Mus musculus: one gene and its partner. The protein of the gene in region 2 interacts with the protein of the main gene of each other region in a biochemical or structural test. Links are inferred from orthologs where the notes say so. Each region holds a gene or a part of one and is shown on either strand. Other genes may lie near its edges.

Region 1 (4,955 bases), on a different chromosome or scaffold from region 2:
GTGCTTGCCAGAGCAGGAAGCTGTCAGCAGGGGTAAAGTGGGAGTCACAGGAAAGGGAGCAAGTGGTGCATGACACAGCAGAGACCCAGGGGACCTAGGGGACATGTCACAGAGTCAGGGATGTCTAACCTGGGAGCTCTGGGATTGGCAGGTCAGCCTCTGAGGGGGTCTCACTGTCTGTGTTCTCATCTGTGGAGCCTGCATACGGGTCCTCGCCATTCTCCTCTGGGGCTGGGGGCTGCCTTTGTTCCCTCTGTTTGGCCACCCTGGGCGATCAAGAGTAGTGGAGGGTAAACACTTAGGGAGCAGACACCCACACCCAAGGCCAGGCAGACGTACCCCCTTCAATCCTACCTCCTCAGTTCATCCTCGGTGTCCCCAGAATCTTCTGCCCCGTTGTCCCGTCCTTCTGCCAGTAGCAACCCAGTCAACAGGCTTGGTTCCTGGGACATCTAGTAACACCCCTCCCAGAATGGCACCCGAGAGTACAGCCAGGGCCTATGAACTTGACTTCAGTTGCCCTCTCAATCTAGTTTTCAGGGTACACAGTGGCCCCTCCTCTACTCCTTCACCTCCATACAGCCCTCCCCCTCAGACCCAGAAAGCTAGACACCAGCCCTGCCCCCAAACCCAGGGCTCAAGGCCCTAGCCCTCCTCCTCCCTCAGACATAAAGCGTGTAGACCTCTCCCTCAGATTCTAACCTGACTCTTCCCCCTCAGTGTCACTATTGTCCTGGGGTCCTGGTGACGGTGCTTTGGTCTCTTTTGGGGTTGGTGGCCTCGGGGGTGAGCTGGGTCCTGCTGCCTGGGTCTTGGCTTTGGGCTGGGGCCGCTGAGGAAGAAGGGCTAGGTGAGGTTGGGGCAGTGTGAGGCTCTGGACAGCCAGCAGCGGGGAGAAGCAGGAAGCTGAGGTATTCAGCAGACCTGGTTGGCACCCAGTATTCCCTCCTGGCCCCATAGGGGCATCAGACCTTTTGGGGAAGCTTGGGAGCTTCGTCTTCGCCGCTCTCACTGTGAGAGTCCCCTTCGTCCTCACTGCTGGATCCAAGGCCTGCCATGAGGTACCTAGGGGAGGAACTGGGCCTCAGGCAGAGGACTGAGAAGTAGAGGGAGGTGGGGATAGAGAAGGAATCCTGCTGCCCTCTGACCCCTCCCAGCCCTAGAGGGGCTCCACTACGTGCCAGGCAGTTCAGCCACCCCAGGCTCTTTCCCTCATGGGGAAGATCTGTTCCATTTAAGGCAAGAAAGAGCAATGGGGGGGGGGGGTCTACTCTTTGAGGATCAAAGGAGAATGCCAAGCAATGGGGGAAAGTCTCAAATGCAAATTCAGGTGGAACCCCACATCTGGGGTCTCTGCATCTGTACACCCAACCAATCACAGACCAGAAAGTCTGTGTCTGCACTCAACATTCAGACTCCGTTTGCTCGTCATTCCCTAAAGATTTACATGGCATTTACATAGTGCTGGATTCAAACCACAGAATGATTCAAAACATGGAAGAGCGCCGGGCGGTGGTGCACACCTTTAATCCCAGCACTCGGGAGGCAGAGGCAGGCGGATTTCTGAGTTCGAGGCCAGCCTAGTCTACAGAGTGAGTTCCAGGACAACCAGGGCTATACAGAGAAACCCTGTCTCGAAAAACAAAACAAACAAAAACAAAAAACAAAAAACCCAAAAACATGTAAGAGCACACTGGCCTAGTGAGCAGGTCTCTAATCTCAACTACTCAAGAGGCTGAGAGGCAGGATGGCCTGGGAACAGAGTGAATTGAAGTCCAGACTGAACAACTTAGTAAGACCCTCCTACACTCCAAATCAAAACCAAAAAGGCTAGGGATATACAGCACGGTGGTAGAGCCCTGACTAGAACCCCCAGTGAGGGGCTGGGGGTGTGGCTTAGCATGTGGGAAGCCTTGGGTTCAGTTCTTAGACATCCACACTCACAGTACGTGAGGCTGGAGAGACGGCTCAATGTTTAGAGCTTATACTGTTCAAAGGATCCAAATCTGGTTCCCCAGGACCCACATCAGGTGCTCACAACTGCCTGTAACTCTAGCTATAGGGGATTTGACACAACTGGTCTCCTCACGTACCTGAACACACATGTGCACCACCGCACAGATACACATACACATAATTTAAATAATAATCTTTTTTAAATGTATGAAAAGATTCTATGCAGTTTTTATGTAAATACTCTAGCATTTTATATAAGCAACTTGTATATATTTAAAGACTAACTTTTTTATTTTACACGTATGAATGCTTTGCCTGCACATATGTCTATGCATCATATGTGTGTGCTTGGTGCCTATAACAGCCAGAAGTCATCAATCACTCTGAGACTGCAGTTACAGATGGTTGAGAGTTGCTATGTGAGTGCTGGAAACTGAGTCAAGGTCTTCTAAAAGAACAACCAATGCTCTTAACCACTGAGCCATCTCTTCATTTTCAACCATCCTAAGATTTTTGATTCTTGGTACTGTGTGTGTGTGTGTCCTAGATTCAAGTCCCTACTGTGGCACACTAGCTAACTATCCTTACACACCTCAGAGAATAAAGGCGCCCACAGACACCCTCCGCACATCTGTTCAGGATGATCACAATACTGAAGCTAGATAACTAGCTCCCAGGGATCTGTGGAATCCAAGCAGGATGTGGAGTCCCCACCACTTCCAGATCAACTGACCAACCCACCCACCTCCCCTCACAGTCCCCGACATGAATGTGCCAGGGTTAGCCCTGCTTATTAAACAGACTCAAGCCACGACCTCACTGGGATCGGAGTCGGCTTCTCTCCAGCTCCACAGCTCCTGCTGTTGGCAGCCAGTGGTTCTTCTCCCGCCCACTGCGTCAGGAGATGGATGCTCATGCTGCCCATCCCTGCTTGCTCTGCAGCCCTGCATGCCCTCTGCCTGGCTGCTACCCATGCTTCTCATCCCGCGATCACTGTGCCCCTCCTGAGCTCCTCAAAGCTGGGCTCTAACACTTCTGACCCACTCGCTGAAGTGAGCACAGGGCTCAACCCCAGCGTCCTCACTTCAGTCACAGCTCTGCCTGGCACCCAAAGGATGCCAAAGGATCAGTTCTGAGGAATGGCATACAGCCCTGAGGCTCCCTTCCACCTCTGCACAGCCACAACCCACAATGTGCACAAAGCAGCCGTCATTACAAAATCCAGTGGCCCACCCAGGCTAGTGACTTCCCATCTGCAGGCCCAGCCCGTCTTTGAAAACGGCTTATGTTGGTTTGAGATCGCCTGAGCTACCCAGCAGGCCCCAGGCTCTTCATTGCCTGCTCTGGGCTAAGAGGCAGGTGTGTGCGCTGCCTAAGAGGCAGGTCGTGGGGCCTCACCTCCGGGAGGGCAGCCGGCGCCGCATGTGGTGACAGTCCAGCACCCACTCTTTACGCACAATCCGGCCTCCAAGGCCCAGGACCTGGCTGTATTTGGGAGTGTTGGCAAAGGCACAGCTGGGAGATGCAAAACAGGAATGTCAGACATGATCTGATGGACAGCTGAGACAGAACAGAGATGGAGCTTAGGGAGGGACGCAGAAAGCTGAGAACTAAGGGGGTAAAGAAGTGGGGGCTGGAGGGCACAAAGAAGCAGGGAGGGAGGATAGCAGAACAGGGACAGATGAAGCTAGCGGGGGCATGCAGGGTAGGGCAGGGCAGGGCAGGGAACCGTGTGGCAGGTCAGAGGCCTACATGAGATGTGTGCTGTCTGGGGTCCAGTCTGGCCGATACTTGGCCCCCAGTTCCAGGGCCTTGTCCCGGAGCTCTGAGCGGAAGGGGTTCTGGAAGCCACTGAGCACCACCACCACCCCTTGCAGGATCTTGCCAAGCTCTTGGGGTCCAGTGCGAGCCCCCCTAGGCTCTGTGCCTTCTCCCCGGGGCTTCCCTGGGACGGCTCTCTGTGCTGGGGTAGAGGCTGGAGCTGCAGCTGGAGTACGACTAGGGACAGACACTGGGGAGAAAAGAACAGAAATTAGGTTGGTGCCCCATCGAGCCCCAGCTCTTACAGGAAGTCAGGCTTTCCGCCTCCCTTCTTAGGATGGCAGGTTCAAGACCACAGCCCTTCCCTCATGACACACAAGCCAGGGTCACTACAGAATCAAGGAATCCAGTTTGCTTACATTTGGGTCTCTTGAGGGTGGATGGCCCTGCCGAGGGTTTGCTGGGAGGTTTCCTGTCTTCTAGACTCAAGTCCAGTTTTCTCTTCCCTTTGGGAGGCTCCTGAGGCTGAGGAGGTAGAGATGGGTTGGCTTCCGGCTCTCCTCATTCTCCACTGCCCCAGCGTCTGATGACCTCACCTTGGAAGAGCTGCCCACAACCTTGGGGACTGGAGAGGCTGAGGAGGCTGCACTAGAGGCCTGCAGTGTAGCTGCTGCATAGCTGGGTCCTGCTGGGTCACTCGTAGAGGCTATGGAAGGACAAGTGGACTGAGGGTGAGAGGGCAGGGCCACAGTCACCTTAGCTCCCATCTATCAGGTATCAAGTCACTCTCACATCCAGAGGTGACCCAGAAGTTTAGATTGTACCCCTGACTCAGTAGTCCAGGCCCCAGCCCTCCTCCCCAGACCTAGAGACCTGGCCATGCCCTCAGCTCTCAGGCATCATACATCCTAGGCTGAACTCAAGACTTCCTACTTAGCAGAGGAGACCTTACACAGCTGGCCCTCCTGCCTTGTCTCCCCTGAGCGGAGATTTCAGGATTGGGCTCTATGCTAAGTAAGCACTCCACCAACGCCATCCCTAGCACCCCGAGTCCCACAGGCACCTGATGACGTCTTGTTGATACGACTGAAGAAGAGAGCCCCTGGCTTCAGGGAGTTGGCACTGTCATCCTCCTCTTTCACACGAAACTGGCCGAGCTTGGTCACTGTCACCTTCTAAGGTCCCACAAGGTCAGTGCTGTGAGAAGAATGCTGGCAGGCAGGGGTGGAGAGGCAGGG
Region 2 (4,955 bases):
CACAATGATAAGCAAATGGAGAGGGTTTGGGTGTCAAGACCCCAAACTAATTTCATCAGTTCCTCCAGCCCATCTGTCTCACAATTGGGCCAGGCCTCCACAGAGGCACTTCTGGCAGCCACCTTAATTTTTTTTTTTTAAAACCCACTGAAGAGTGATTGCACACACCTCTGATCCCAGCACCTGGTAAGCAGAGGCAGGCAGATCTCTGAGTTTGAGGCCAGTCTGGTATGTGGAGGAACTTCCAGGACAGCCAAGGCTACACAGGAAAACCTGTTTCACCCCAACCCCAATTTTTTCCCTGTTTTTAATATGTGTAGATATATATGTTTAATATGTGTAGATATATATGTTTGTGGATCATGTATGTGTAGCGCTCATGGAAGCCAGAAAAGGGTGTCAAATCCCCTAGGACGGGAGTTGTAGTGGAACTGTCATGGGATGTTAGAATCCAACCTTGGTCCACTAGAGGAGCAGCTAGTATTCTAACCCAGAGCCAACACTTCTGCTTTAAAGCTCACCTTATCTCTGGGTCCCTTACTCATCAGTGATTCTCAACACAAGTCTGCTCCAGCAGGCATCTTTCCAATTCTGGGCTCTTCTTTGTGTCCTTTAACTTGTACTTTGCAAACACAAGTTTACTCTTCCTTGCCAACCATGTTTACTTCTACCAGCCATACCTTGCATGAATCTCAGCTGGCCCATGAGCCCCTCCCTGTTTTTAGCCTCACTCAGCAATAGAAGCTGCTTTGAGCTGCATGGATCAGACATTAAGGAACCCACCATTTTGCTGTCTGGGGGTTTAGATGCTCCATCTTGCTTCCCTTTAATCTCAATTATTTCCCAGGCTGCTACTAATACACACCTGCACCAACTCTTTGACTTCTGATTCTTACCAACCTGGCTTCCGTGGTGTTCCTGTCTTTGTGAACATGTGTGAGCATTTCTACTGGTAGTTCTACAGAACAGTGGCAGGTCAGCTTTACTGGTGACAGCAGAGATCTTCCAGAGAAACAGCCTTCACATAACCCAGCAAGGGCCAAGAGCTTCTGCTGCCCAGCCCTTGGCTGCCTCAGGTCTCCTTCTCGATAACCCAGAAGAGCCTGACAAACGTGTACTCTGCTCCGTTGCATCCCTAGCTGGTGTCTTCTAAGACTGACTTAACTCCAGGGTCACAATTATAGCCAATCCCCAAGGCCAACACCGAGTACAAGACCTCTCTCCCATGGCATTTGGTACCACTACAACAGCTCAGTTCCAAACGTCTGCAGGCTATGCTCCATTTCTTCACGTTCACCTTTTTCCTCCTAAGCATGCTTCTTGGTTTTCCTAGCCAGTTTTGAGAGACTTGTCTCATTGTATTTGCTCAGGATTCCAGCACCACACGAAAGGAAAGAGACCAACAACTCTGTCTACCTCAATCCTAGCTACATACCCCTTAAAAGAAAAAACTAACAAAAGAACTCAGGCAGACAAGGAAATCCCAAACAGAACAGGCAAGACTCCATCTAGTGGTTCCCAATAAACTATGTTTTAGTACTCCTGGGGAACTCTGCATCAGGTAACATCTATTTATAAACCAGCTCAGACCTGGCCTTACTTATCCTGGGCAGAATGGTGGTGGTGGGCACTGTACCCCCAAGCAAGTTCTGCTGAGCTGAACAGAGATCAGTCCAGCCTTCTCTTCTGACCCCATGGTCTGAAGGCCATGAGCATCCCACAGAACACAGCAGATGGGGATGAGTAAGAGTCTCCTCTCTCCTTTAGTGCTCTGAATGGAACTCAGCTGATATATGCTAACCACTCACGTAATCTATGGGAACTTACAGACTCGAGTTCTCCTGTGGGCACAAAAGCACCCAGAAGCTTCAGCCTGACACAACTCTCCCTCTGCCATGTGTGGTACATCCTAATAGGCTGGGATTAGAGACCACACTAATTACATGCGCATCTACCCTGGGACTTGTCATCCAAGACAACTCACCAGGACCGACTATCCCAGCACTGGCACCTGCCTACTAGGCCAAGCACTCACAGACATGGCTCCCAAAGGGTGGTGGTAGTGCTGGGAAGTGGACTGCAGGCTCTTTGCACAACTTACATTTTGGTGGTGAGGACGGATAGTCATCTTTGAAAAGCATCCGTAGCTTGAACAAGCCTCCTTCCCATGGAGTCTGTGGGGAGGGAACCAAGGTTAGACCAGTGGCTCACTTGCCAAGGTAAGCCCAGGAGAAGTTTCCTGAAACCTGGGTCCTTTGGGCTTCTTCTCTAACTGCCCTACACCACCATTACTGCATACTCTGCAACTGAGCCTTGTATAGATGAACCCAAACTATGTTTTTGCTCAGACACTAAGCTGACCTAGAGGTCTGGGTTTGGTGAATGCCTGAAGTTATAGGAGACCATCCCTCTTACATGTGCTGGACAAGGGCAGACAACCGGCTGCACTCAGGCCCATGAGTGTAAAGAAACACGGCCTGGGTTCTCCATGGGCACCTCACCATTGGGGCTTACTGCTTTGTAGCCAGCAACCTTCACCTGCTCTTTACCCCTGACCCCGGGCTGTTCACTGATCCAGTGATTTGCCAAGGTCCAAGCCTCCTTACCACCACAGGCCACTCCTTATCCAGGGGAGAGCTGTGACCTGGCAGGCTAGCTGTGGTCACAAATATGCAAACTTAGGTCCCTTCTAGTAGTTCTGCTCCTTCAGATCTGTTAAGTTAGTAGGTGCAAAGCCAGCAGTCACCCTTACCCCCTTCTTTCCAGGGATAGCGCACTCCCAGTTCATCAGGTTCATTGTGCCATCAGGGTTCTTTGTTGGGACAGCTACAAAGCCCTGAGAAAGAACAGTCACAAAACAAAGCAGCTCAGACGACAAGCCTAGCTGTCCCCCAGTGGCCACAGGCTGAGACCACCACCCCATCAGAAAGCCCCTCCTACGGCAGACACAGAGTGCTCCTTACAAAAGGGTGGTCCTTCCTCCAGGCTTTCCTTTCCTGCGCAAGGCGGCTGAGGGCGATCCCCGACATATTCAAAGTCCCTGGAACAGAATCCACACAGGGAGGGTTAGGGAAAGCACACACAGACCTCCTCTAAGCCACCCCTACCTCCTACCCCAGCCACAGAGGGCTGTTACCAAGAAGCAGGTAAATGAGGCTGGAGTCCAGCTGGGCAAGCTGCCCTTGGAGCAAGTGTAGCATTACACCCCTCAACCGGCCCCTCAGAACGCCTCCGGGTGTAGGGAGAGCACCACCGCTGTCTCTCTTGTGCTTTACAAACTCAACTGCTGGAAGGGTCAGTGAGAAGAGCCTGCACAAAGGCTGTCACCTCCCTGGCAGGCACTGAGCATCTCTGGAGAGACTTGGCACCCACTCCACAGTCAAATCCTCAGGACAGGCAGGACCTCCCAGGTACTGCACACACTTATCTGAGGCTAAGATGTATGGCCAGCTTAGAATCAGGCCTGAAAGGAGGACAATCACTAGATGTACTAGTGAGAAAAATCTATACCACAGGGCAGAGCGTGGTCAACTTCCATAGGCAGACTGCCCCAAGAGGCCAGGCTATCAGCCTATAGCTTACCAGCTCATAGTTCAGAGATCTGCCCTATGACCCTAGGGGAAGGAGGGCAAGATCCAGGTCAGGCCAGCAGCCTCTGCCAGAGACCATGGTGGCACACTTGACAAGGCCCTTAGGTGAACACCTCTCTACCTAGGCCCACAGCCTGCTGCTTTGACTGTGATGCCAACCTGGCTACCACCTGCTTGAGTTTTTTTTTTTTTTAATCTGCACATCCTTTTTAATATTACTTTAAAAATAAAATCACATGAAACAATACTCAAGAGACTCCCAAACCCACAGAGCACAGGGATTTAGGGGTGTGTGATCACAAGAACATGACCCCTGTGAACAAGAATCTAGCAGAGCAATGGGTATTTCACACTGAGTTGCTTCTCAGAGGTTCCATATTTGACCCCAGCTTCAGGCTTCCATTAGGCTTGTGGGTAAAATCTCCCAGCTGGACTAGCACTAGCCTAGTCTCTCGTTTTCAGCTCAGTCTTCACTCTGAGGCGGAACCTCCAACCACCTCTAGACAAGAGTAAGATTCTTGCCAGAGCACATCCCTGCTACAGCTTCTGCCAGGCTTCAAGCAGACCTCCCATGAGTTCTTGCTATTTAGACTTAGCTCAGGCTGCCCATTTTATCTGCAAAGCTGTGACTACCCTAGGATTTACTGCGTGTTCCTGACCCAGCTAGGATCCCTGGGCTACAGGTGGGCTGATCAGATATGCACCTCCATCTGTAAGCACAGTTGTTCTGAACCTGAACAGACAGACCCACTGGGTCAAAGCATTCTGGTGAGTCCTGCACTGAAGTTACAGATGACTTGTTTTAAGTTCAGAGTCTCACACTGTAGCCCAGGTTAGCCCAAAACTCCTGGCTAGCTCCTGGTATTGGGATTACAGGCATGAGCCACTACATCTGGCTCCTAGACCACTTTTTCTTTCTTTCTTTCCTTTATTTTTGGAGACAGTCTCACCATGTGGCCACAGCTGGCCTTGACAGTCACGCACCACAGCACCTAGACTGCTTGTGATGACTGTACAAATCCAAGTAGAGAGGGGCTGGGACTGCCATCAGAGGTACAGCATCACCCCAGAGCCCAGAGTTCAGGAAATACTTCAGTGGGTGAGGTCATTGTAAGACAAACACTTCATATCAGCATTTTTAATATCCTGTACACTCTAAGCCAACATGAAGAACCTCTTTTAGAAGCACAAGCTGGGACTGGCGAAATTAAGAGTACTAGATGCTCTTCCAATGGGTTCAACTCCCAGCACCCACATGCCAGCTTATGATTGCCTGAAACTCCAGTTCCAGGGGACCTGGATGCCCTCGAACACACAAACATACAGGTAATAGTGCACATAAAATATATTAAAAAAAAAAAAGCA

Evidence for each region.
Region 1: of the proteins of Ube2i (region 2) and Xrcc1, one has a biochemical effect on the other in vitro, tested with the Homo sapiens proteins (2 studies listed by BioGRID). The link is inferred for Mus musculus from reciprocal best matches to the Homo sapiens genes UBE2I and XRCC1.

The regions. Positions count from the first base shown.
Region 1 is NC_000073.6:24,566,326-24,571,280, reverse strand, and holds part of Xrcc1 (DNA repair protein XRCC1), read right to left. Parts: intron 4,893-4,955; coding exon 4,781-4,892; intron 4,424-4,780; coding exon 4,314-4,423; intron 4,243-4,313; coding exon 4,137-4,242; intron 3,968-4,136; coding exon 3,709-3,967; intron 3,472-3,708; coding exon 3,355-3,471; intron 1,066-3,354; coding exon 972-1,065; intron 833-971; coding exon 703-832; intron 453-702; coding exon of another isoform or gene 410-452; coding exon 355-409; intron 267-354; coding exon 130-266; intron 1-129. UniProt on the Homo sapiens protein: Scaffold protein involved in DNA single-strand break repair by mediating the assembly of DNA break repair protein complexes. Negatively regulates ADP-ribosyltransferase activity of PARP1 during base-excision repair in order to prevent excessive PARP1 activity.
Region 2 is NC_000083.6:25,266,440-25,271,394, forward strand, and holds part of Ube2i (SUMO-conjugating enzyme UBC9), read right to left. Parts: intron 3,041-4,955; 5' UTR 3,030-3,040; coding exon 2,964-3,029; intron 2,837-2,963; coding exon 2,753-2,836; intron 2,175-2,752; coding exon 2,102-2,174; intron 1-2,101. UniProt on the Homo sapiens protein: Accepts the ubiquitin-like proteins SUMO1, SUMO2, SUMO3, SUMO4 and SUMO1P1/SUMO5 from the UBLE1A-UBLE1B E1 complex and catalyzes their covalent attachment to other proteins with the help of an E3 ligase such as RANBP2, CBX4 and ZNF451.